Linked DNA regions of Oreochromis niloticus. The protein of the gene in region 3 purifies or fractionates together with the protein of the main gene of each other region. This does not show direct contact. Links are inferred from orthologs where the notes say so. Each region holds a gene or a part of one and is shown on either strand. Other genes may lie near its edges.

Region 1 (7,534 bases), on a different chromosome or scaffold from region 3:
GGCAAAACAACGTGATGCAAACCATGACAAGGCTTAGTTTTAAAGTAAAGCAGTAGTTAATGCTCATTTAACTCTTTTACTGTGAGTTTAGACCTACTGACCAGGTTCAGAGTGAGAAGAAAGACTGGCTGAAGATCCTGAAGGAGTCACAGATGCAACAGGTGTCTCAATTTGACTGATCTGAGGAACAAAATTAGTCAAGCGTGTTTGTGGGTATATTAATGTCATTTTAAATGCAATTTAAGACCAAACTTGTGATGGAAGCAGAAACCGAAAGAACAAATATCCTTTTGATCCTTTCCAAGTTTAGGAACACTGTCCAGATATGCCTATCAATCTGGAAAGGAACAAAAATATCATTGTTTTCCTAAATGATATCCAATTTCCCCAAGTTTTAAACCCTGTTCGACACACAGCAGGGATTTCTCCACAGGCATTTAAATTCTTGACAGCTTTAGGTCATTTTGAAAGGTTTAAAGCAATTTTTAAAACACAATAATTTAAAATAAGCACCTTTAACAACTGGTAGAAATCTAGATAATAAATCATGAAAACCCATATATTTACCAAATATGATTGATACCAAACAGGAGTAGCTCCTCTCTCACCTGCCCTGGTGGAGGCCTGTTCATCGTCTTTCGCGCCCGATGGATCTTGGGTGGTGCAGGGGAGACAGATGGAGAAGAAGCAGCTGTTGTAGAGGAAGAAGAGGAGGATGATGGAGGACCAGGCGGAAGGACAGATTTACTGCTACCAGGCCCTGAAACGCTCATCTTTGCTCGGCCAGGAGACAATGTCGAAGATGTGGAAGGAGACGACGACAATGACGAAGAGGTCGTCGAAAGAAGGGAATTTGCTGTGTGACCTGACAAATTAAAGCAAAAGGGATTATCTCCTCAGTTTGTAAACTAAGTCTGATTAAATCAACGAAATCAACTCAGAATTTCGACAGCAGCTAATGCAATCTGAGCTCACCTGCAGCAGCAGGTTTGTTCTGGGGGGAGGCGGCAGGGGACCATTGTTCTCCTTCCTCTCTGACTGTGGAAGCATCCTTCTCGGGCTGCTGGGACGACAACAGTGATGACATAACACCCATGGGCTCCGTCTTGGTGGCAGCAGCAGATGAGGTGAAGGCTGCATTATCTGAGGAATATCCGGAGTGCAAGAATTTTAAAGTTTATCAAGGAGAAATAATTTCTTGGGCATAATGCTACAATCTGCCGCTTGATGGTAGTGCAATGATGTGCAGCATGTCATAAAGCTCAAAACATCTCAGTCTGATTTCTTTAATATGACAATTCACTGTACTCATATGAGATCAAATGGCATTCACAGGTCATTTAATTGCAAACCAATGCAATGTCTTTCAATATATTTCAAATATTAACATTATCTGCATAAACCAGCTGGTGAATTACCTTCCTTTGTTTGACTTGACCCAGCTAATGACTCCTCTGATGTTTTTGACTCGTCATTTTCATGGTGCTCCTGGTGGACAAAACAAGAAACAAGTGAAACGAGTAAAACTGATAACAGAACAGGCTCTTATTTTAATGATTTAATGAAATGATTGCAGTTCAACCAATCATTGGTAGAATAAATACACAAAGAAATTATATTGTATATTTGCATGCATGCAAAATATACAGTTGCTTGAAAAAGTATTGGCCCCCTTCCTTTATTTTTGTATGTCTGTCACACTTAAATGTTTCAGATCAAACAAATTTAATAATAAGACAAAGATAACACGAGCAAACACAAAATGCAGTTTCTAAATGAAGCTGTTTGTTATTAAGGGAAAAAAAAATCAAAACCCAAATGGCCCTGTGTGAAAAAGGTATTGGCCCCTAAACCTAATAACTCCTTGTAGCGCTGTGGAGGAATTTTAGCCCACTCAGCTTTGCAGAATTGTTGTAATTCAGCCACAATGGAGGGTTTTCGAGCATGAACCGCCTTTTTAATGTCTTGCCACAACAGCTCAATTGGATTCAGCTACAGGACTTTGACAGCCTTTTTCACACCAGTGTACATGTAAAAGCATGCACTCTAGAGGTCTAAATGTGGATCCACTACACTCATTGTATCTCTGGCCTGGTAATATTTTTGGGCCTAGCAAGTTCTCTTGATAGAAACGCTTCCTACTGACAAATAACACAGGACCTCAACCAGGGGCAGCAGGACAAGGATATGAGGATACTGTGAGCATCATTCTCAAAAGTGTTGTGTCTGTTCATTTGACAGTACAATCAAAACTGTCACTAATGTCATTCTAAAGTTATTTTAGGTAAAAAAATAAAACCCACTACTTTCGGCCTTCACATCTCCAAAATAAACCCGTCGGCCAATAGGTGAAAATTTCTTTCATGTTACATCAACTGCCGCCATGAGTCAGTAATTCCATTCATGCTTTTTACACGACCCAAGAAAAACCCCTTACTCCAACAGTACACCAAAAAGAAACGTGAATTTAAAACGGGATTTTAAACTCCGACTGCTTAAAATCCTAATTTCTTTTCCTGTGAATTTCTCGTTGGTGCAGCATTTACTTTAAAAAAAAAGCTCCTAACTAGCAACTACGAATAAAAACATATCCTAAAAAACAGATCGAGGTGCAATACTTGCTATACAGAGGATTGCTACAAAGGTTACTGGTCAACAAATACAAAACAGCAGCAAAACATCATCTGGATAAGAGTAACCCTGCAGGTAACACAAAACTGTTACAGGCTAACACTGCTAGCAGTGCAGCCTAGGTTACAATAAAAAAAGCTATTATAATCGACATGCAAAGTCAAGAGGAGCTTGGCAGTATGCAGTATCGGTAAACTGGGGAGTTTAAAGGTAGACGAATAGACGTAAATTCCTTTAGCATGCAGTTTTCAGCTGCAGTACGTTAGCTACCTTTGTCGTTGTCTCAGATGCCGACATGTTTCCCAGTGACCGTCAACGTATGTGAGCGTGCTGCGTCACGGCCGGAGCCCCGCCCCCTCGATGGATGGTGGGAGGGGGGTGGTGCCCATAAATTTTTTTAAAACTCGCTGATCAGAAATCAGCGTACGTGCTGTCGTTTTACGGCTGACCGCGAGGCGAAGTCGCTTGCGAAAACAGACTCAAAGTCAGCTAAGCGGCGAAATACGGGGCGGTTTGTGTTTGTTGTCACGAGGTATGCCTCCTACACCCCCCTCCGAAAAAAATAAAGGGGCCGAAAAGTAAACAGAAACCCAGGCAGAAGCTGGTGTCGTCTGGAGGAATGAACAGACAGCGCTCCCGTTCGGCTAGCATCTCCTCATTTAATGGTCACTTCATTTAAAGAACCCCGATTTGCTTTCTGGAGAGCCCGCAAGGCATTCAAGGAGAGGAGAGGCGAAGGTGAGCAGGCGACAAAGTTTGACAATAACTGAGGGGGTTTTGTTCGTTTGACTGCTGCTGGATAGAAGAAGAGACGACACGAAAAGGGAGCTGTTAGTGAGTGGCTAACGTTAGCTAGCTGGACTGGAATGAAAAGAGGAAAAAAACGTGTGTTATAGTCAGCTTATAACCACCTTTACTAGTTTATTATAGGCTCCGCTACTGCTGAAACGCACGAAACGGTAATCTTTTTTAATATCCGCTTTTCAAGCTCAAATGTTAGCCAGTCTAACTTTTCAGGGTCTGTAAGTCCTAAACATGACATGGATAAGCATGGATATAATTAGCCTGTTTATATCACATCAGTTAGTGGATTCCATTAATATAACATGTCACTAAAGTGAGCTAGCATTATATAATTTCCTCCCATAGGTCCTCTTAACCTTAGTTGGTGTTATACCAAAATTGAAAAACACTGATTTTTTTTTTTTCAATTGTCTTTGTCAGTTTGATTTGCGGCTACCATGGATCTTATTTTTTGTTGGCCACTAGAAGCATTCTTAATCTACATATTTATTGTGCTAATTGACCAGTTTTCATCCTTTATTTTGTTGTCATTATCTTGAGAGACAGTATTATGCAAAAGTCTTGAGCCACCCGTTATTTCTTTATAGGAGCCAGGCTTTCTTGTCATTTGTATTAAAGTGGTCTTGAGCAATAGTTCTCCGGGCTTTCTGAAATGCTCTTTAAAATATTTATTAGGATGTTGTCTTCTTTTTTTCACTCACTTTCAGTCCAGTCCTTGTATCTGAACATTTTGAGAGACAGACAGACTGAATTTTCGGAAGAATCTGAATCGCTGACTTAAAATATGAACATGAAACATAGAAAATGTAAACTGTATATTAAAAAAAGGCACCCAAAGTGCAATATTACATTTAAATAGTTTTTTTTAAACCCCATTATGTACGGTATAGACAAGGTATTACAAGTGAAAATAGGTGAGGTGTGATAAGGAAGAGATATTCGTTGGCTTTAGGTAGGAATGATTATGAGGTCCATCATGGTGGAGTGAAAAAGCTCCTGTGGCTGTCCAGCACAAGATGGAGAGGGTGTGAAGGATTGGCCAATACTGACCATAACTGGGACAGTATCCTCCTTTCTGAAACCTCTGTCAGAGACTCCACACCCACAACATTACTGGCTTCAGTTTATTGAGTCTGTTGTTATCTGCTACTCTCTGTCTGCTGACAGACTTTTTTGCGTCTGTTTGTTAAGCAACTCAAGACTGACCTATGACTCATTCGAGCATTTAAAAAAGGCTCCTAACTTAAGGGATGAACCATTGTTGTGTCTACACATAACAGACAACTTCACAAAGAACCAATTTAAAATTTTATCTTGAGGCATTTTGTTACCTGCCTGTTGCTTTAACACATAATTTATTCCTGTTTCTTTTTAGTTGAATCTATGAAAAGTACCAAAAATAACACTTTCAAAGATATAAAATGGTACTTTTGCATGAACTAGGTGTTCCTAAAGAGTTACTAGCTGAAGACTTGGCAAAGCTTGGCTTGGTGTGCAGTGTGTCCTTAAAAATTGATTAAGCTAGACACAGAGGTCCAAAGAAGGAAAAAAAACAATCTGCAGCTGTTGGACAGTATCTGAAAGTCCGACAAAGACCTGACAGAGGACCCGAGAGATGCATTTGACCCCCCAGTTGATTCATCTACTGTTCAGGAATTATATCAGTGGGTAGGTGGCTGTAAAGAAGCCATTAGTAAGCCTGAAGTATTCCTGAAGACTACTTAAATAAATGACAAGAAAACCTGCTTAAGAGAGTTCAGGGTGGTCTTACCAAATGTTGACTTTCAAGCTTGTTAGAATGTACAAGCTCTGTTTTTCCCTTTTTTATTGCATTTCCTTGGAAGTAGGGCTGCTCGATTATGGCAAAAATGATAATCACGATTATTTTCACTGAAATTGAGATCTCGATTATTTGACGATATTTATTTAACAATAACAATGTATTGAATAATGGCTTTAAAGATTGTCAAAAATAATATAAAATAGTGTGCAAATACTGATTACAGTGCAAATGTTTGCAATATAAAAAATAAATGAAAAATGTAAACATCTATGTTTAGTGAACTTCAAAATACTGCACAATATTTGATCCACGTCTGACTCCGCGAACCCATAATGTTTCCACACCACTGAAGTCGTTTTACCTCTCTTTTCAACCAACGGCATTCTTTCTTCAGCAGCCATTATCCTCTCTCCAAATAACTTCTGCTTAGCTTTCCGAGCTTTTCGAGCTTCCCTCGGGTCCTCTTAATTGTTGTGACGCGTGTTCGAAACGCAGAGAGGTGCGCTCGATTTGCCACACGGAGCAGCGCGAGAGTAAAGCACGAGGGAGGTGCTAAAAACCGGCTCAGTCATTTTTAATGATCGTTGAAAACCCAGATCGTAATCGAGATTAAAATTCGATTAATTGAGCAGCCCTACTTGGAAGTTTGCATACATTTTAATAAATCGCTGCACCCATTTCTCATTTTCCTAGCAAAATATAAAGAAATCAGGGGAGACTCAAGACTTTTGTACAATACTATATTTTATAAATCATTTTGACAACTGTTAGCTCAGTCTTACAGAAAAGGAGTTTACTCACATTAGTTAGATTTTGTGAAGATAAGAAGGTATGAATCAGACAATTATTTGCCAAATTAATGGTTTTAATGGTCATGTGGCATTTTAATTTCTTTCTCTTACACCAATAATGACAGATCTAAGCATGAAACAGTTACCCAACAAAAGAAGGAATATTGACAAGTAAGTATCAGAACATTTATTTTTTTTTCCACCTTAAATAAAAACCGTAAGATCTATAGAAAAAATACTGGCTGATCACTATTGGAGAATGTTTGGCCTTTTGTTAGGCAAAAAAACAATCAATGAAATGAATTATTTTGATAACAGATTAATAATTAATCCTAGTGTCAGTGGAGCAGATGATTAACAATCACCACTTTGATGTCTTCGTTTCATTTCCCCTTTAAAGATTTGTTATTCAAACAAACCATCAGCTGATTCCTGTTCTGCAGCGCTTTGTTCTTTTTAGGAAGCTTCCTTTATTAGGCAATAGGCAGTATTGCGTTGTCCTTGTTTGATCTCATTATCTGTAACACTTTCCACATTTGTTACACACTTTGAGACCCGAAGGTGTGTGTGAATTTTATGAAATGTGCAGCTGAAGGAAATGCTTTTTGTCACTGTCAGTTCTCTATAAACAAAATATCTGCAGAAAAAGCCAGTCTATATTTTATTTAGAAAAAAAAAATACATAAAATACTCCTATAATTGGATCACATTTCAGCTATCCAATAATAAAGCCAGCAATATAAAAGAGCATCTTTAATGAGTGTGTCTTTGAAGTCAGAGAAAAGTTTCCGGGAACAGGCACATTAAAAAAAACCATAGACTTTACCTGATTACTTAAAAGTATTGAAGGATATCCAGTTAGGTTGAAAGAGCGAGCAATGCAAGTGTCTGTCAGGAAGTTATCATAAAAAGCAGCTGGGCTGAGGCCAGATCAGAGGTGCAGGAGACGATAACCCCGAAGGGCAAGCAGTATAGATCCATGCCTTCATGTTTATACAAAATTGTTACCTACCATCCAAATCCAGAGATCAAGACTCAAAAGGCCAGGCAGCATTTTTCAAATCTTCTGTTTTCCATTTTTGGCACTCAGTGTGGTCTGCTGCTTCGAGGTTTGGCATGTTTGTTCACAGGTGCTCTTCTGTATACCTTGGTTGTAACATTATTTGATTTACTGTTGCCTTCCTGTGAGCTTGTTGCTGATCTACTGGGATTTTCCCAAAACCAGCCTGTCTGGCACCCACAGCCATGACACATTCAAAGTCACTTAAATCACCTTTCTTCCCATTCTGATGCTCAATTTGAACTTTACTAAAGTGTGTTGACCATTTCTACATGTCTAAATGTGTTTAGTTTCTGCTATATGATTGGCAGATTAGATAAGTAAAAAAGTTTTAATCTTTCTGTGAAATCCATTGAATCATCTTCCTTTTAACCTCTGTGCATTTAGTACATATATATATATGCTCACATTAACAAATAATAGGAGTAATCTGAGGCATGTGTTTGCTGGCACAGTGAGAACTCC
Region 2 (7,861 bases), on a different chromosome or scaffold from region 3:
CCGTAAAAGTGCCTTATTCACTGTCCATGAATCCATGTCCTTCAGCCACACGCTGAGAAAAGAAAAGTTCTGACATACAAAAAGCTGAAGTGAAACAAAAACAAAAGTGTCACTGCAACCACCGTCGGAGCGTTTTTCTCCATTCTCCCGTTTCCTGTAAACTTTGCTCCCTTCTCTATTCCGGCCCACTTGTCAACCAGTCAACATTCAGTAGTTCCAATCTAGATTGTGTATGTGAACAGATACGTGCGGGACCATGAAACCAGCTTAATACAGAGACAGACAACAATCCACAGCTACAGCCAGTTTAGAATCACAGAGTGGGTAACTCAGTAAGTACCCACACAGAAAGGTCCCTGCTGGCTGGATCAGTTCACCAGATGCAAAATATTATAAAGCCTCAGTGACAAGAAAAACTGAACTCTTAAACTGAAGTTTTTAGTTTTTAAATACAACTGTACAGGTGTTTATTTTTACCCTATAATTGATTTAAAATACACATAATGATGCATTTAATAGTCTTTGCCAATGAAAAATCCTGTTCCTGGGTTTATGGCTCATTGATGCAGCACTGTATGTGGCATCACACTATTGCCTTTATTTCCCTGCACAAACTTGATCCAGCAAGGTGGCTGGGACAGATCCAGCAGCTCTTCCAGCCCCTCTACAGTCAAACCACAAAGTGATGGAAGCACGTTTGTCAATGTGTAACATATAGAACGTATGACACAGTATTGTAAAAGAAAAAAATTCTCATCCTGAGGAAAGAAAACTTCATCTTTGTTCAAATGTGACTCAAATCAACACTTGATTTTCACACTTAATTTTCTGACAATTTTCCATATAAACCTTCGTCAACAATTCTCTTTAGCTAGTGCATGATCAGTGCCAAGCTTTGTCTTCTGATGCTTTATCTCTTCTATAAATTCCAATAATTAGCTCCAAACAATAGGTTTTTGTCTAGGAACCCACCTTACAAAATTACTACAATTTTCTAGATGATATTTCTAAATTGGCTCTCCTTCCACATAGCGCTCTGTTGCTCTCAACAAAAATAAAACCCTGCACATCTCTCCACAAATAGTAGCTACAATAGCAGTGATCCTAAAGCCGAATGGTCAAGTGTTTTAGCAGCAACATACGTGGATCCATGAAACTGCACTGCTGAAGTCAGAGGAGAGAAACCGGCAATAATATGCAACATACACACACACAAAAACACACGTAAGTGTGTGTATTTTTGCGGGTAAGTGATAAGAAGTTAATGGGGAAAAAAAACCCCACTTTAACTGTTCAAACATTAAGCGCAGAAATATGCAGCATGTTTTGCAGAGCATAGTTTAATCGCTATGACCTAAATACCCCACACACTCGTGAGACTGCGATTAGCCTTCCCCCCACTCAAAGATTTTCAGTCCACCCGTAGCTAGCACCGTCTCCGAGGCTTAGCACTGAAAATGTTTCACAATCAACACTGAAGCCCAGAATCAACTGTCCAGATGATCCGACTGGAAAACTAACAGTAGAAAACAGCAGCTTGCTTTGTATGAACCATAGTTTAGTTTATTTTCTGACGGTGCAAAGCAAACTCCAAATGAACTGCATCTTATAAATGCCTGCCACTGGTGTCGCGGGGGGCTGCGAAAGATAATATTAATGACTAATTACCTGATTAATACCGCCGACATACCAGTTTCCTTTGCAGTCATGAAGTACTGATAAAACATTTTTAACAAACGAGAACTTAACGACTTATTACCACTTAACTTGGTACAAATTCAGTCGTTCACTTGCAGGTGTTCCAATATAACTGTCCACAGTCTGTAAACTAAATTCTTAACACAATTTTAACTAAGCTCTGGTAGTACCGCTATTACGCCAAGCTAACAGGACTTAGCAGCCAGAATTAGCACATCTAGTGATATGGCGGAGGCGATAATGAAATTAACCTACCAGCCTGACACAGCTAGCAGAGCGGTGTTAGCAAGCCATCACAGACGTCACCAAATTTAGCTAGATGCTTACTTCTCAACAGCCAGCAGCTAATGCTAGCTAGCATTGTGTTCATTTTGAGGACGTTATCAAATGTATAGACTACACGTCAGAGAATTGGACAATTTACTGTTATTTCGCTTATCTATAACCACCACATATGTTTGGATCTCCTGGATCCAGCTGGCTGGATGGATTTATATAAATACAAACTTTCAGAACCGGTTCATGCTGTGCGACGGCCGCCCTGTGGTACGGTACTATGATGGCGTGAACTAACTGGGATATAACACAGATCTGTTCTGAAAGTTGAACTTTAAAACAAATATACACTGCTCAATGTATTGTATTATTATAGTCCGAACACAGAAGCAGCTCTACCTGGCTACAGCTGTGTGGAAACCAAATCAATGTGAAGTTATTTACGTCTGTCTGTAAGCTAAGTCATACTACATTGTTTCGGCAGATCTGACGGTCTTGATGAAAGCCCGGAGTCGCGCAGCGTACGCTAGCTTTAGCTAGCTGCTAACAGCAGAGACAGCTAGCGGCTAGTTAGCCAGCTCCCAGTAGAAGCGAACAATCACGTTGAAGGGGTGTCTTAAAAATGTAAACCATTCCTTACCTCCCACTCGGTACATGTTGGCCGCCATTCTCTCGTAACCTTTATCAGAAGCAGTCCCAGGGTATTCCCCGCTTGGGTAGAAACAGGTCGATGGGAGTCTATTTTATTCCTTCATTTATCGTCAACACCCCCGCCGCGAAACAAAGCCGGCTCTGGGTACAACAAGAGAGCAGTGGCGGGTAAAAAGTTGAAAGTTTCCGCTGGCGACGCTCCGGCAATTATCTCCAAAAATAGAAGTTTATATTTTCTCTCTCTGGCGACCTTCCTCTCCTCTTCTTCACTCACTTATTCACATACAGCTAGCCTGTCTCTTACTCCACTCTTCCTCCCATCCTCCGCTCCCAGCTTCATCCTCCTCTTCTTCACCTCCGCTCAGTTCAGCGCGCGCGCACACACAGAGACAAACACACACACACACACACACAGCCCCCCCCCCCCCCGCTCGTGTACAAATCGTCAACTTCGGATTTTGTCGACAATCACCGACGTCTCACAGTCAACTTGTTCACCGGCGCTGGTTTAGTGACACAGACCGTCTGTTTTATGAAATGAACGACACGCTAAACTTACTTTACTGCTTGTAGTTTAAAAAGTGTCGCAGGATGCTTACCGGAAACAAACGCTTATTTACAAGATTTACACACAAACACAGGCTTTAATATTGCAAATTCAGAGAATATACAGACCAGTCAGTGTAATGATGGCAGCAAATGTGCCCCAAATAGGTCAAATTTTGAATGGACGGAAGCTGTTAAAAAGGAGATACAAGTATTATAAACAGTTATGTTTTTCTTGTACAGGCTGCTGGTAGTGCAATAGATGGCAGTGTTGGAGAGCAAATCAGTTTACTGAAGCATCACACCTAAAGGCAGTTAATGATTGAATTCATTTTATTCAATTAATTTTATATTTTCCACCTTAAACCATGTACCTTTACTGCATCCCAACCGGAGGGCACCACAGACTTTACTGCTGTCTTCAATGAAAACACATTTGTTGAGACTTCAGTCCTAAGTGTTCTCACCTGAGACCTGTTATTTAGGAACACACTCACAGGTTCTGGAGTGGCACTGCCCACTAGTGACACTTCACACACAACACACCTCTGAGTCTTCTCTCATTTATTTGGAGCTCAGCTGATACGACATCACAGTATTGCCGACGTTCATTTAAATACATACAAAACTGCACTAAAGTAATAATTTTCAAGTGTACTGATCTACTGTTAGAGAAATGAATTAGTAAGAGATGCTGAGTTGATTTTAATGGGACAGGCCTGTCACAGTCTAAGCATATAAAAAGTTGAGATTTTAACCAAACCTTGTTTAAAACATGTATAAAATCACGTGCACAGGCACTATGGCAGTGCAGCACTGTTCTGCACCAGCAATCAAACAAGAACAGTTCTCACCACATACACAACAGAATGACGAGGATTCTGTCTTATGGGAAACATCACACACACTGTCCAGTTTCACAAGGATTTAAAGCATAACATTAACATGGATGTTCCTCCTGAAGAGGATGTTCTGCATGAAACTAGCAGCAGTGTCAGTCCAGAGGATATACTGAGCCCATAACTCACTTCGATGCCTCTGCGGCTGTAAGAAAACAGCCTGCTTTCCCTCACTCTTATAAGCAGCCGTCTCCCTAGCTGGTTGCAGGTTCTGGAGAGCTGGTAGAGGTGGATGAGGCCGAGGCCAGTCTTTCCTGGCTGTTACCCACCCCACCTCCAATCACCTTCCACTGAAGGATGCAAGTGTCCTTCCCGCCAATGGAGAGCAGGTGAGAGTCACTGTGAGTGAAGCAGACGTTGGTGACGTGGCTGCCGTGGCCCTCGTACTTGTGGCTTGGTGCCTGAAGAGAAAAGAAGCAGGTCCACTTTGGGTCAGCGCAGAGGAAGGCCCATCATATCCCAGTCCCCCGCCCCCCAATTTGTCTTTCCAGACTAGGATAAACACCTTTCTACAAGGTTCCTACTGTTAATGCTGAATCTGGACTGAATGTCCCACAACTGTAGTGACAGCACTACAAACACAGCGGGCTCAGGGTCTTAGAAGATGTGACCTGCTCTTGAAAACTGAGCAGCTTATTAAATCAATCCGTGTGTCATCTGAACACTGCTTTAATGAACGAATACAACTGTGTACAAAACCGTTAACGTGGGTTATCTGATCTGCTTGAGCTGGACTGACTTTGGCAAACGGTTTAACTGTTTCTAACTCTTAAAACTGGCTCACTTTCATCATTTGGTTCTTATTTAAAAAAGAAAATAGTTACCTTGAGTTTAGGACAGGGGTACTGGAACAGATGAACCTTACAGAAATCATCAGCCACAGCCACCATCTTCTCGTTGTGGGAGCGACACAGCGCGTTGATGTCTGTGCCGTCAGAGCCTTCCAGCCACACACCTGAACACCACAGTACCACACTCATCAGTCTGATTGGATAAAAGAACTCCATGACGTTAATGCAATGCTAAAGGAGGACAACAGCATTTTGCTTGGAGTTTCTCACCCATCACGTGGAAGCCTAGCACACAGGTATAAGAGGCCCATTCTCTGTCTTTGCTCTCAAAGCGGTTCCTCAGCAGCTTACATCCTGCTGCTATGTCCCCTGTTAAAACACAGTCACTAAGCTAAAGAACGTACTGCATGGCATTCCTATAACAGCACTAAAAGCACAGTGCTGGATGTTCACTTACAGTAAAGGATCTCATAGTCGCCTGAATTTGACATGATGTACTTCCCATCTTTGGACCAGTCCAGGTGAGTGATGAAGCTGGAGTGGCCCTGATCGAACAGATAAGCAGACAGAGTGTCAGTCATATTAGCTAAAGCAAGCAAAGCTTTTATTCTGGATTTTCATCAGAAAACTCCATAAACGTCTTTGGCATTAATCTCCGTGTTTGCAAGCTCCATACCACACGTTGCATATGAAAGATTTCCAGGTCATTAAAAGTGAAGTTAATGTTCAAGTGCATTTAAACGGCATTCTTTCTAATGTCTAGCATGAGTATAATAATAGCAATAAGAAATTACAGTGGACCAGCCTAAAAGTAACAAATACATGAACTATTTTTAACAGATGTTAGATAGCATACTGCTACAATTTTCAGGGCCGAGTACAATATCCTCAGTTTGATCTGAATTTATAAGCAGAAAGTTAAAGACAAAGACCTGGATGGCCTCTAAGACATTCCTGCAGTTTAACTAATTGGTGTGTGTTATCTGGCTTCATGGACAGACAGAGCTGACTGTCATCTGCATAGCAGTGAAAATGTATGCTATGTCTTCTAATGATGCTGCCTAGGGGAAGCATGTATAATGTAAACAGAATTGGTCCTAGCACTGAACCCTGTGGAACACCATAATTAACCTCAGTGTGTGAAGAGGACTCTCCATTTACATGCACAAACTGGAGTCTATTAGATAGATATGATACAAACCACTGCAGCGCAGTACCTGTAATACCTACAGCATGTTCTAATCGCTGTTATAAAATATTGTGGTCAAAAGTATCGAACGCTGCACTGAGGTCTAACACAGAGATGAGTCCACTGTCAGAGGCCATAAGAAGATCATTTGTAACCTTCACTAAAGCTGATTCTGTGCTGTGAAGGTAACGGTCATTCCACTGATCAGTGTGATTTGTAATAATATGTGGACAACAATGGAAGTCTGTACACAAGATTTATTGACAAGAAGGAAAATACAGCACTAGAGCAGGCTCATATTTGATGGAGATGTTAACCAAGAAGAAATAATTTAAAGTTTAACTCACATTACATTTTCCAAAGCGGGTGTAACGCCTGCCACTCTCTGTCACACTGTAGATGTAGATGAAGTTGTCATGTGATCCAACAGCTAGGAAGCTGCCATCTGAAAAGCAAGCGGTCCCTCACAGTCAAAGAGGATTCCCACTGTGAAACTTTGGTACGTGGTACCCTCTCTATTCGTTTCCTGTCTCTCTGTCTACTTTGGCAAATAAACAAAATCAATGCACAAATAACTCATAAACTATGACTGCGCATTTTTTATGACTATAATTTATTTGGCTTCGGAGAATGAAAATTTTAAACAAAAAACAAAACAAGAAAAAAATCTTTTATCTGTGAAAATAGTTTTAAGCTTTAACTCAAAGTTTACTGCATGTTTTTTGTGTGAAGGAGATCATTAACTCCAACTCCATGACCACGTGGTTGGATGTGAACACCACCCTAATCTGTCACATCTACAGTTAAGATAGGAGGAGGAGTTACTGACTGACCTGGTGAATATCTCATGACAGACAGCTGCTCATTCCCGTCAGTGGATTCAGAAACTACCTCCCTGGTCAGCAGGTCAAGGACCATCCACCTGTCAGTGTTACAGGGGGTGGAGGAGGATCAGCAGGATACAGGCAGACAGGTGGAGAGTCAGAGAAAAGAACACACTGGAATGCACATGGCTAAATTCTCCATCTACTGTACAGGAAGCCACAGATCAATGCTTCCTAACCTTTCTTTTAGTTTGGAGCTTAAGTTTCGTTATGTGTTGTTTGTCCGTTTCTATTTCTGTCAGTTTGTCATAGGATTAATAAAGAAGTGTATCCATACTGATGCAGTCCCGATCAAAAGTTTAAGATCACTTGAAAAAAAATCATATTTTGCATGGTTGGATCTTAACAAGTTCCCAAGTAGAGCTTCAACATGAACAAGAAATGAGAGTGAGACCAAACATTTTGTTGAGCGTGTAGTTTATTGAAAACAACACTTAAACTGAAACAGGCTGTTTTACAGTTTAGTTTAAGACCACACCTCCAAAAATACCTGTAAACCCCCCAAAACAGAAATCAGAGTTCCAAACATGAACTCAGTAATGAGCCGCTCCACCGTTAGTGTTGATCATTTCAAAAGTTCGTTGCAGCATGTTTGATGTAAGCGTTTCCATGAGGTGAGTGGGAACATTTCTCCAAGTGGTGAAGACGGCCGCACGAAGCGATCTACTGTCTGGGACTGTCGTCCATTTCTGTAAACTTCCCTTGCCATCCATCCCCAAAGGTTCTCCACTGGACTTGGATCAGGGGAACACACGGGATGGTCCAAAAGAGCGATGTTATTCTCCTGGAGGAGGTCCTTTGTCCTTTATGGCGTTGTGTACTGTAGCGTTGTCCTGTTCAAATACCCAGTCGTTACCACCCAGGCGAGGGCCCTCAGTCATGAGGATGCTCTCTGCAACATCTGGACAGAGCCAGCAGCTGTTTGAC
Region 3 (7,249 bases):
CCTTGAGAATCTGATGGTCCTGACTGCCGTCTTCCGCAACAAGAAGTTCCATTCGGCTATGTTTTTCTTCATCGGCAACCTGGCATTCTCTGACCTGCTTGCAGGCTCAGCATATATAGCCAACATTTTTCTATCAGGGGCAAAGACATTTGAGCTGTTCCCAATACAGTGGTTCATCAGGGAAGGCACAGTGTTCATTGCTCTGTCAGCTTCAGTCTTCAGCCTGTTGGCAATAGCTATAGAGCGCTATATCGCTATCACCAAGGTAAAGGTGTATGGCTCGCACAAAACATGCCGAATGTTTCTGCTGATCGGAGCTTGTTGGGTTACCTCCATCCTTCTCGGAGGACTCCCCATCATCGGCTGGAACTGCATCGACAACCTCCCTGAATGCTCGGCAGTTTTGCCACTTTACTCTAAGAAATACATTGTGTTTGTCGTCACTGTTTTCAGCCTCCTACTACTCTCTATTGTCATCCTCTATGTGAAAATTTATTTGATTGTACGCTCCAGCCACCAGGAAGCAACCAACTCACAAGCCTATTCCCTTTTGAAAACGGTCACAATAGTGCTGGGAGTCTTCATTGTCTGCTGGCTGCCCGCTTTTACAATTCTCCTTCTGGATTCGTCCTGCAGCATATATTCCTGCCCTATCCTCTCCAAATCAAGCACCTTTTTTTGCATTGCCACCCTGAATTCTGCGCTTAACCCAGTGATCTACACGCTGCGCAGTAAGGACATGAGAAAGGAGTTCCTCCGTTTGATTTGCTGCTGGGGCGTGCTGCAAAGTGGGCGGCCTTCTGAACGTTGTCTGGTCCCTCTAAAGAGTTCCAGCTCTCTGGAACACTGCACCAACAAACTTGAACACCAGAAAATGCCTATTATGAAAGAATGTACCACCTGCGTTTGATAGGGTCCAAGGATATCATGTGTATTCGTGTGAGAAAGAGAAACGAGCTAGCACGTCCTGGATCTAAGACATGTGGGTGAGGCTGGGACAAAGCTGTCTTTGAGACACAGACTTAAATCTCCTATTACAATTGATACTGTGTGAATTTATAATCGGTATGCAATTAAAATCACCCATGCAGCTGGTGTAAAAATGCAAGAGGAAACCAACGTAGTAAGTGAGAAACCAAAACGTTCTTATGGGTACTTTTCTCGATTGTGGAGCAAACCATTTTCACGTATATACCTACGATCGTGTTCATCTTTTAAATGTGTTAAACCCTTTTAAAAGCCAAAAATAATGTGCATAATATCATAGTTATGTAATAGCTGTTTGGGACTTTCAAGAACTGTGTCAATGCAAAGCTTGCAAAATTGCACTTTGTAGTTTACTGTAGAGATTTTTGCCCTGTGTAAGATTAAACCACATTACTCTTCCTCACTGAAATATGTATGCATTAAGCTTAAAGTTGCATCACTCATTATTTACAGAGTCGATGGCAGTGGTCAACTGAAACAAAATGACTAAGTAGTCCTTTGACAAAACCAGGACTATATATTCCCTATATAACCGTACCTTTTGATAAACTACAACAAACTTGTGTAATCTGCTCACATTTAATGCATGAAACTCAGACTGTAAGTGCTAACGTGTATGATATACTCCAGATACGGCTTCCATCACTAACACCCCTTCCCTTATTTGTCCTCATAATCTGCCCCTCTTGCTTTTACTGTTGTCTTTTGTATCTAAACAGTTTCCGTCAAGGAAGGCCTAATCAGAATGCACATTTCCTTAAGGGAGTAGGCACAGATGGCGAATTTGACTCAATAACAGCTGTTTGGCAGGTTTAACTAAAAGAACAGATGCCCTTGCAGTGTTGTAGTAACATAGAATCAATGTGCTGCCTCTGTTTGTGCCTTCCTCATGGGGGCAAAAGGCTGAATGTATGTATGAAGTGTTCGGGGCATGTGCCCCATTGTCGACAGTATTATTGATCATCATTTGGAATTACAAAGTCATTGACAAACAGAGTGGGATAAACAGGGTAGATCACTCTTACTGTGAATTTTCAAACAGCACCATGAACAAGAATTTGTTGTGACCATCTGGGTTTAATTTGCAAACCATACGCCTTGTGCAACTAAAGATCCAAACCTGTCTCATGTTTCTCAAGACCCCTCACGTTGTCTACAAAATAGGAGAAGATCCGGTTTCAGACGCACGGGAGGTATCTGCCCTCCTGGGAGGTCAGCGTCATCCTCGTTCCCTGACATCCTACAACACGCAACTTCCCTCAGCCATAGGAAGTCCTATTTTTTCAGCGTCCGGTTCCTGTTGTTTAGGCTTACTGTAACCTTCTTCCCATGGACATACAATTAAAACTCTTCTCCATGTCAGTGTTTTTATTTTTTTTATTTTATTTTTTATATTTACTTCTAAATTTAGATGGACACGCACTTTGGCAGCTTCCGTGATGTTTCCTTTCCCCCATTTTTAAAAAGAATCTGTGTACCTATGAGTTTGCCAACTTTTATGTTAAATATATAAATAACTGTGTATGTTTTGTAAGTATGTATGTGTCTTTGTACAGTATGTATGACTTTGTTTTATGCAATGTCTTGTGTGCAATAGTTGTGTGTGTCCAGTAGCACGCTTCCTGTATTAAACTGGTACAATCTGAAACACTAATAGGTACATGACTTTTTGTTAATTTTTAATTCCAGTTTTATAAAAATAAATGAAATACTGAAAAAAAAAAGTGTGCATGTTTAATTTTGAGCTTTAATCAACCAGTGTGGCAGCTGCAACTTTTCTGCATGTCCTGAGTTGTCTCTTTTTTTATTGTGAATCCATCTGAGAAGGAATTAAAATGCAGCATTAAATCCAAACATGCTCTGACAAGGTCAGAAAAACACTAGCCTCAACATGAAAGCCTGTCATTGTTTGTGCAAATACTGCTTTGTGATTAATCATGGCTATCTTACCTGATGAAAATATAGCTTTGCTTTAAGGCTAAAGGTAGACATGAAAAGGATGGGAAGCTGGGCAGAAGACAGAGTGCGGGGGCTAAAAGTGGGGTGTGGTGGAGAAGATGGCCTGTTTGTAAGCGCTTGTCTGAGGGAAGCATAAAGGAAAAGCCCCGGGAGAGGTTTTTCTGGGTAAGAGGGATGCTTGGGGTGAGGGGGGAGGCTGACTTATAGAGGCCTTGGGAGTTTGGGCCTGTTTCCTGTCAGACATCCAGGATTCCTGGGTGGGAACGCTGGCTGAATCAGCCCCAGGAGGCTGTGCTGCTGGGATGTCTGCCAAGTCTTTCCAGAGCACTGCAGGATATTACATCAGATTCAGAAACCTGTATGTGAAGTTGTGTACACATAAAGCACAGCCCATGTAAGCTCATTGCTGTAGAACAGCACGAAGTTTGAAGTACTTCACAATTTCGACTAAAGGAAAAGTGAACAAAAACCCTGCCTATTTCTAAACATTATTCAACTGTGCAGTGATTGTACACACAGCTAAACACTGACCAATTAATATAATAACAGAATAAACACGTGTCAATAAAAACTAGTGGTAAAAGCGAGCAGGGTGGGTTTCCATGTGTAACCGTACAAGAACAAACTGACCGCCTGAGATTAATCTTCTGCCAATGACACAGTGCCACCTTGTGGTGGAATAGGCGCGTAGCTGGTTACAGTTGAAGGACCTTGTCTCCTTATTTATTTGCTCATAATGACATTGCAGTCGCCCAAATCAAAATAGCTACATAAAGGACAAACATCTTAAGGCAATCATGACCTCAGGCATAGATAGTACAGTCACACTGGAAGCGATCCACAGTGGATTATCAACAACTGTTATCCTACAATAATACAACAGCTACATTGTGCTTCACATTTACAACGCCATTCAGTCAATGTTTTTTCAATTGTATTGTTTGTTTGTTTTTGTTTTACCAAAAAGTAGTAATACATCAGATGCAGATGTCTTGCTACGATAGCTCATTAGTAAACAACAACTTCCGCCTGGTCAGTCCACTTCGACATCTATCAAACAGTAAGGGTGGATCGAGTTAATTGTGCATTTCTAGATAAAGTATTTCTTTATAAAATAGACTAAAAATTCCGTTTTTCTTTTACTAATAATATTTATGAGATAAACGTGTAATTCCGGTCACAAACGATACGTACATCAAGGATGTATTAAGTCCATCATCGAAACTGTTTTACCTGTACATAGCTAGAGTGGTACAGTCCACAACACCCGGGTTTCCGCGCGAAAAGACGGCCCGCGCGCCCGAATTGCTTATAGCATCCATCTGCACACGACAGACTGTCACCGTGGAGCCGCGCGGTGGTTAATGATAGTGGAGTTTTAAACGGTGTTTTAACGGTTTTAAAACATTTTTAGTCGCTCGTGTCTTACGCTCGTTTACGATGCCAACCAGGACGTCCCTGCCTCTCCCGGACGATGTCAGGAAAAGGTACTGTAATGAATGCTAATAGTGTTCTACTGATGTAGCTAGCTTGCAGCTTTTATTTCAAAAGCCATAACAGTGGCGGTTAAAGCTGAAATGGCAGTCCTGGTGGGTTAGACTTTCTCTGGTTGTCCTGAGCGTTACTGGCGGTTTCCCTTTTACCTGTGCAAACAGATGTTGCTAACATTAGCTTTTTGCCATTGACAGGGCTGATGCGGTATGCACTATTAGCCAGTTAGCATCATTAGCCTGCCAATGGATGGGACAGCGTGTGAGATTTGGCGCCACTCAGGAAGTTTTGTTATCTGTGTTTCTGCTTTCCCGCTGTCAGTGTTTTATTGCTGCAGTATAGTAAAGGAAGCGCTCCCACACGATTCGCTCTGACTTACCCCAGCACTGTTTTGATTCTTCTTTGTTTACAGCTTGCAGAGGTTGGATGAGGAAGGATCTGCAGAAGAGGTGAGTTGTGGACTCAAAACATGCTTATCTAGTAGTTCTGAAACGGAAGTTTAGTGTGGAAGAACTAACTGTTTAGTATTTTAGTTGGTTTCTATACTGTCACCTCAAAGGGAAGTTCCTTGCTCAATCCACATTGCACTCCCCTTATATCATAAATAATTATGAATAAAATGAACGAGGATCAGCTTTAGTCTTCTTTTTTGTGCCATTTTCTATTTGAGCAGTTTCTGGTGGACAGCATAAGGAAACTGACACCAGTGGTGCGAAGTCAACAGGAATCAAAGTTAAATATGTAATAGTTTCCAGGTTGCATATTGTGTCATTAAGTAATGGAATCCAGTTTAAGACAGTTGTGTTCTTTTAGTTTTGTGTATTTATCCTTGTGCGTGTGAGTGCATAAGTTGTGCCTTATTTTTTTTTTTTCTTTTGACATTATTCATTAACTCTTATTCTCTTTTAAAATGTCACTCCAGGAACATGTGAAAGAGAAGCTCAAGTTGGTGCAGGACTTTCTGCATGCTGATGCTCAGGATCAGCTGACCAGTCTGGAGGAAAAAATGAAAAGTTCAGAGATCTCAAAGGTCAGTCAGTTGTAAGTTGTCCAAATTGATATTAATCCTAAAACCGTACTTCACTTTCTGTCATCTAACTTGTGACATATGTCATGTGCCTTTTTTTTAAAGGAGGTCTATATCTCTAAAGTGAAGGCCCTACTTGGAAAAGAACTTCATCTTGAAAATGGCTCCCACGTTGATGACGCAGAGAAGAATGGAAAGACGAATGGCTTTTCAAATGGTTCGCACAAAGACGAGCATGATGAAGATGTAACCATGAGCGTACAGGAGGAGGAGGAGGAATCTTTCAAGTCACCAACTGCTTCGAAGGGGAAGGGTGGACGGAGGAGCAAGGCAAATTCTGACACAAAAAGTATGTTTAAAATCTCTTAAGATGGAGATCACCTGCACATTCAGTGTCTTTCTCCAGTTATTTAAGCAAAGGTAATTTTTAAAAGAATTTTTTTTTCCTTTTGTAGAGTCTCCAGCAAGTACCAGGGTTACCAGAAACAGTGGGAAACAGCCAACCATCTTGTCAATGTTCACTAAAGTGTGCGTATAATAATATATACTTAATTCATTTATGTATTTGGGCCTAAAACAAAACTCTTCCATCACTTTAACCTGCTTGAAATAAATGTCTTTCAGTCAGAAGCGCAAGTCAGAGGACTTGAATGGAGAAGCTGTCAACGGACAGAATGAACCGAAGAAAGATGATGACGTTGAGGAGGTATCGTAATTTTATGTACAAGTAATGTAAAAAACATAAATAGAAGCTGCAGTTTCTCAGTGTCTGATAAATAACTCTCCACATAATTTCAAATTTGTTTTTTGTAGTCTCGGGAGGAGAAGCGTCTCAAAGTGGAGTCGGATGAAAAGTAAGTATCTTTGTCTTCAGAGCACCAATTGTGATATAGCTTATAAAAGCAAATGGGCTGACACTTTTCTTTATGCAGTGCTGCTCCAGAAGAATCCAAGAGTGACATTGCAAAGCCGGTTTCTGCTGTAAAGGTAGTGATTTGGATTGGTGAACTGTAAACATTTTTGGAGGCATTACTGCTTCGTGCTGACTGGATTGTGTTTTTGTTACTGTTCAGACGCCACCACCCAAATGTCAAGACTGTAGACAATACCTAGATGATTCTGACCTGAAGTTTTTTCAAGGGGATCCTGATAATGCGGTGAGAAAACTTGCCACACATAAACTGTAGTTTTGTTTGTTTTAAATTATAAAAAAAAAAAAACCAAACCCATAATTTCTGTGTTTCAGCTGGATGAGCCTGAAATGTTAACAGATGAGCGCCTCTCACTGTTTGACTCCAATGAGGATGGATTTGAGAGCTATGAGGATCTGCCACAGCACAAGATCACAAACTTCAGGTGAGTGATTCTCCATCTTTATAAAGGTTTTGTTCCTGTGAGGTAACATACACAGCTTGTTAGGTTAGAGGAACAAAATAAAACTGCAAGGAGAGAAAGACCTGTGACTGGCAAGAGGGTGACATCAAGCTTGAAAAGATGTGCAGCAGGATAGAGTTGGAAATGTACTATCGAGTCAAGAGGGTGGTGACAGGGTGGAAATAGTGCCTTGAGGAACTCAAGAATGAAGAAAATGACAGAGGGGAACTGTTGGTCAGGAAGTGCAGGGAATAAGTGAGGGCATCTATGAAAAGGATAGATTGGAAAGGTGGTTGGTCAGATGAGGTGGTGGTGGTAGTAGTAACTACAGTGGGATAAAGTTTGATACCATGAAGTATGTGGCTTCACACAGAAAGAGCACAAACAGATTTGATGTTTGCTTTGAGAGTG

What was found. The genes of interacting proteins can lie anywhere in the genome.
Region 1: the proteins of DNA (cytosine-5)-methyltransferase 1 (region 3) and ehmt2 purify together in Homo sapiens (affinity purification with western blotting; 3 studies listed by BioGRID, with this or other methods). This does not show direct contact. The link is inferred for Oreochromis niloticus from reciprocal best matches to the Homo sapiens genes DNMT1 and EHMT2.
Region 2: the proteins of DNA (cytosine-5)-methyltransferase 1 (region 3) and mta2 purify together in Homo sapiens (affinity purification with western blotting; 3 studies listed by BioGRID and IntAct, with this or other methods). This does not show direct contact. The link is inferred for Oreochromis niloticus from reciprocal best matches to the Homo sapiens genes DNMT1 and MTA2.

Annotation. Positions count from the first base shown.
Region 1 is NC_031985.2:15,481,646-15,489,179, forward strand, and holds the start of ehmt2 (histone-lysine N-methyltransferase EHMT2), read right to left. Parts: upstream 3,019-7,534; 5' UTR 2,929-3,018; coding exon 2,902-2,928; intron 1,489-2,901; coding exon 1,419-1,488; intron 1,144-1,418; coding exon 976-1,143; intron 866-975; coding exon 609-865; intron 181-608; coding exon 102-180; intron 1-101. UniProt on the Homo sapiens protein: Histone methyltransferase that specifically mono- and dimethylates 'Lys-9' of histone H3 (H3K9me1 and H3K9me2, respectively) in euchromatin.
Region 2 is NC_031967.2:3,171,843-3,179,703, forward strand, and holds the start of mta2 (metastasis-associated protein MTA2), read right to left. Parts: upstream 3,019-7,861; 5' UTR 2,643-3,018; coding exon 2,615-2,642; intron 1-2,614. Other genes in the region: eml3 (echinoderm microtubule-associated protein-like 3), read right to left, coding at 4,265-4,471, 4,895-5,025, 5,132-5,230, 5,319-5,406, 6,398-6,495, 6,884-6,972. UniProt on the Homo sapiens protein: May function as a transcriptional coregulator. Acts as a component of the histone deacetylase NuRD complex which participates in the remodeling of chromatin.
Region 3 is NC_031969.2:24,059,730-24,066,978, reverse strand, and holds the start of DNA (cytosine-5)-methyltransferase 1, read left to right. Parts: upstream 1-4,248; 5' UTR 4,249-4,386; coding exon 4,387-4,433; intron 4,434-4,849; coding exon 4,850-4,886; intron 4,887-5,359; coding exon 5,360-5,467; intron 5,468-5,569; coding exon 5,570-5,813; intron 5,814-5,919; coding exon 5,920-5,992; intron 5,993-6,088; coding exon 6,089-6,170; intron 6,171-6,277; coding exon 6,278-6,318; intron 6,319-6,396; coding exon 6,397-6,451; intron 6,452-6,537; coding exon 6,538-6,621; intron 6,622-6,710; coding exon 6,711-6,820; intron 6,821-7,249. Other genes in the region: s1pr2 (sphingosine 1-phosphate receptor 2), read left to right, coding at 1-910. UniProt on the Homo sapiens protein: Methylates CpG residues. Preferentially methylates hemimethylated DNA. Associates with DNA replication sites in S phase maintaining the methylation pattern in the newly synthesized strand, that is essential for epigenetic inheritance.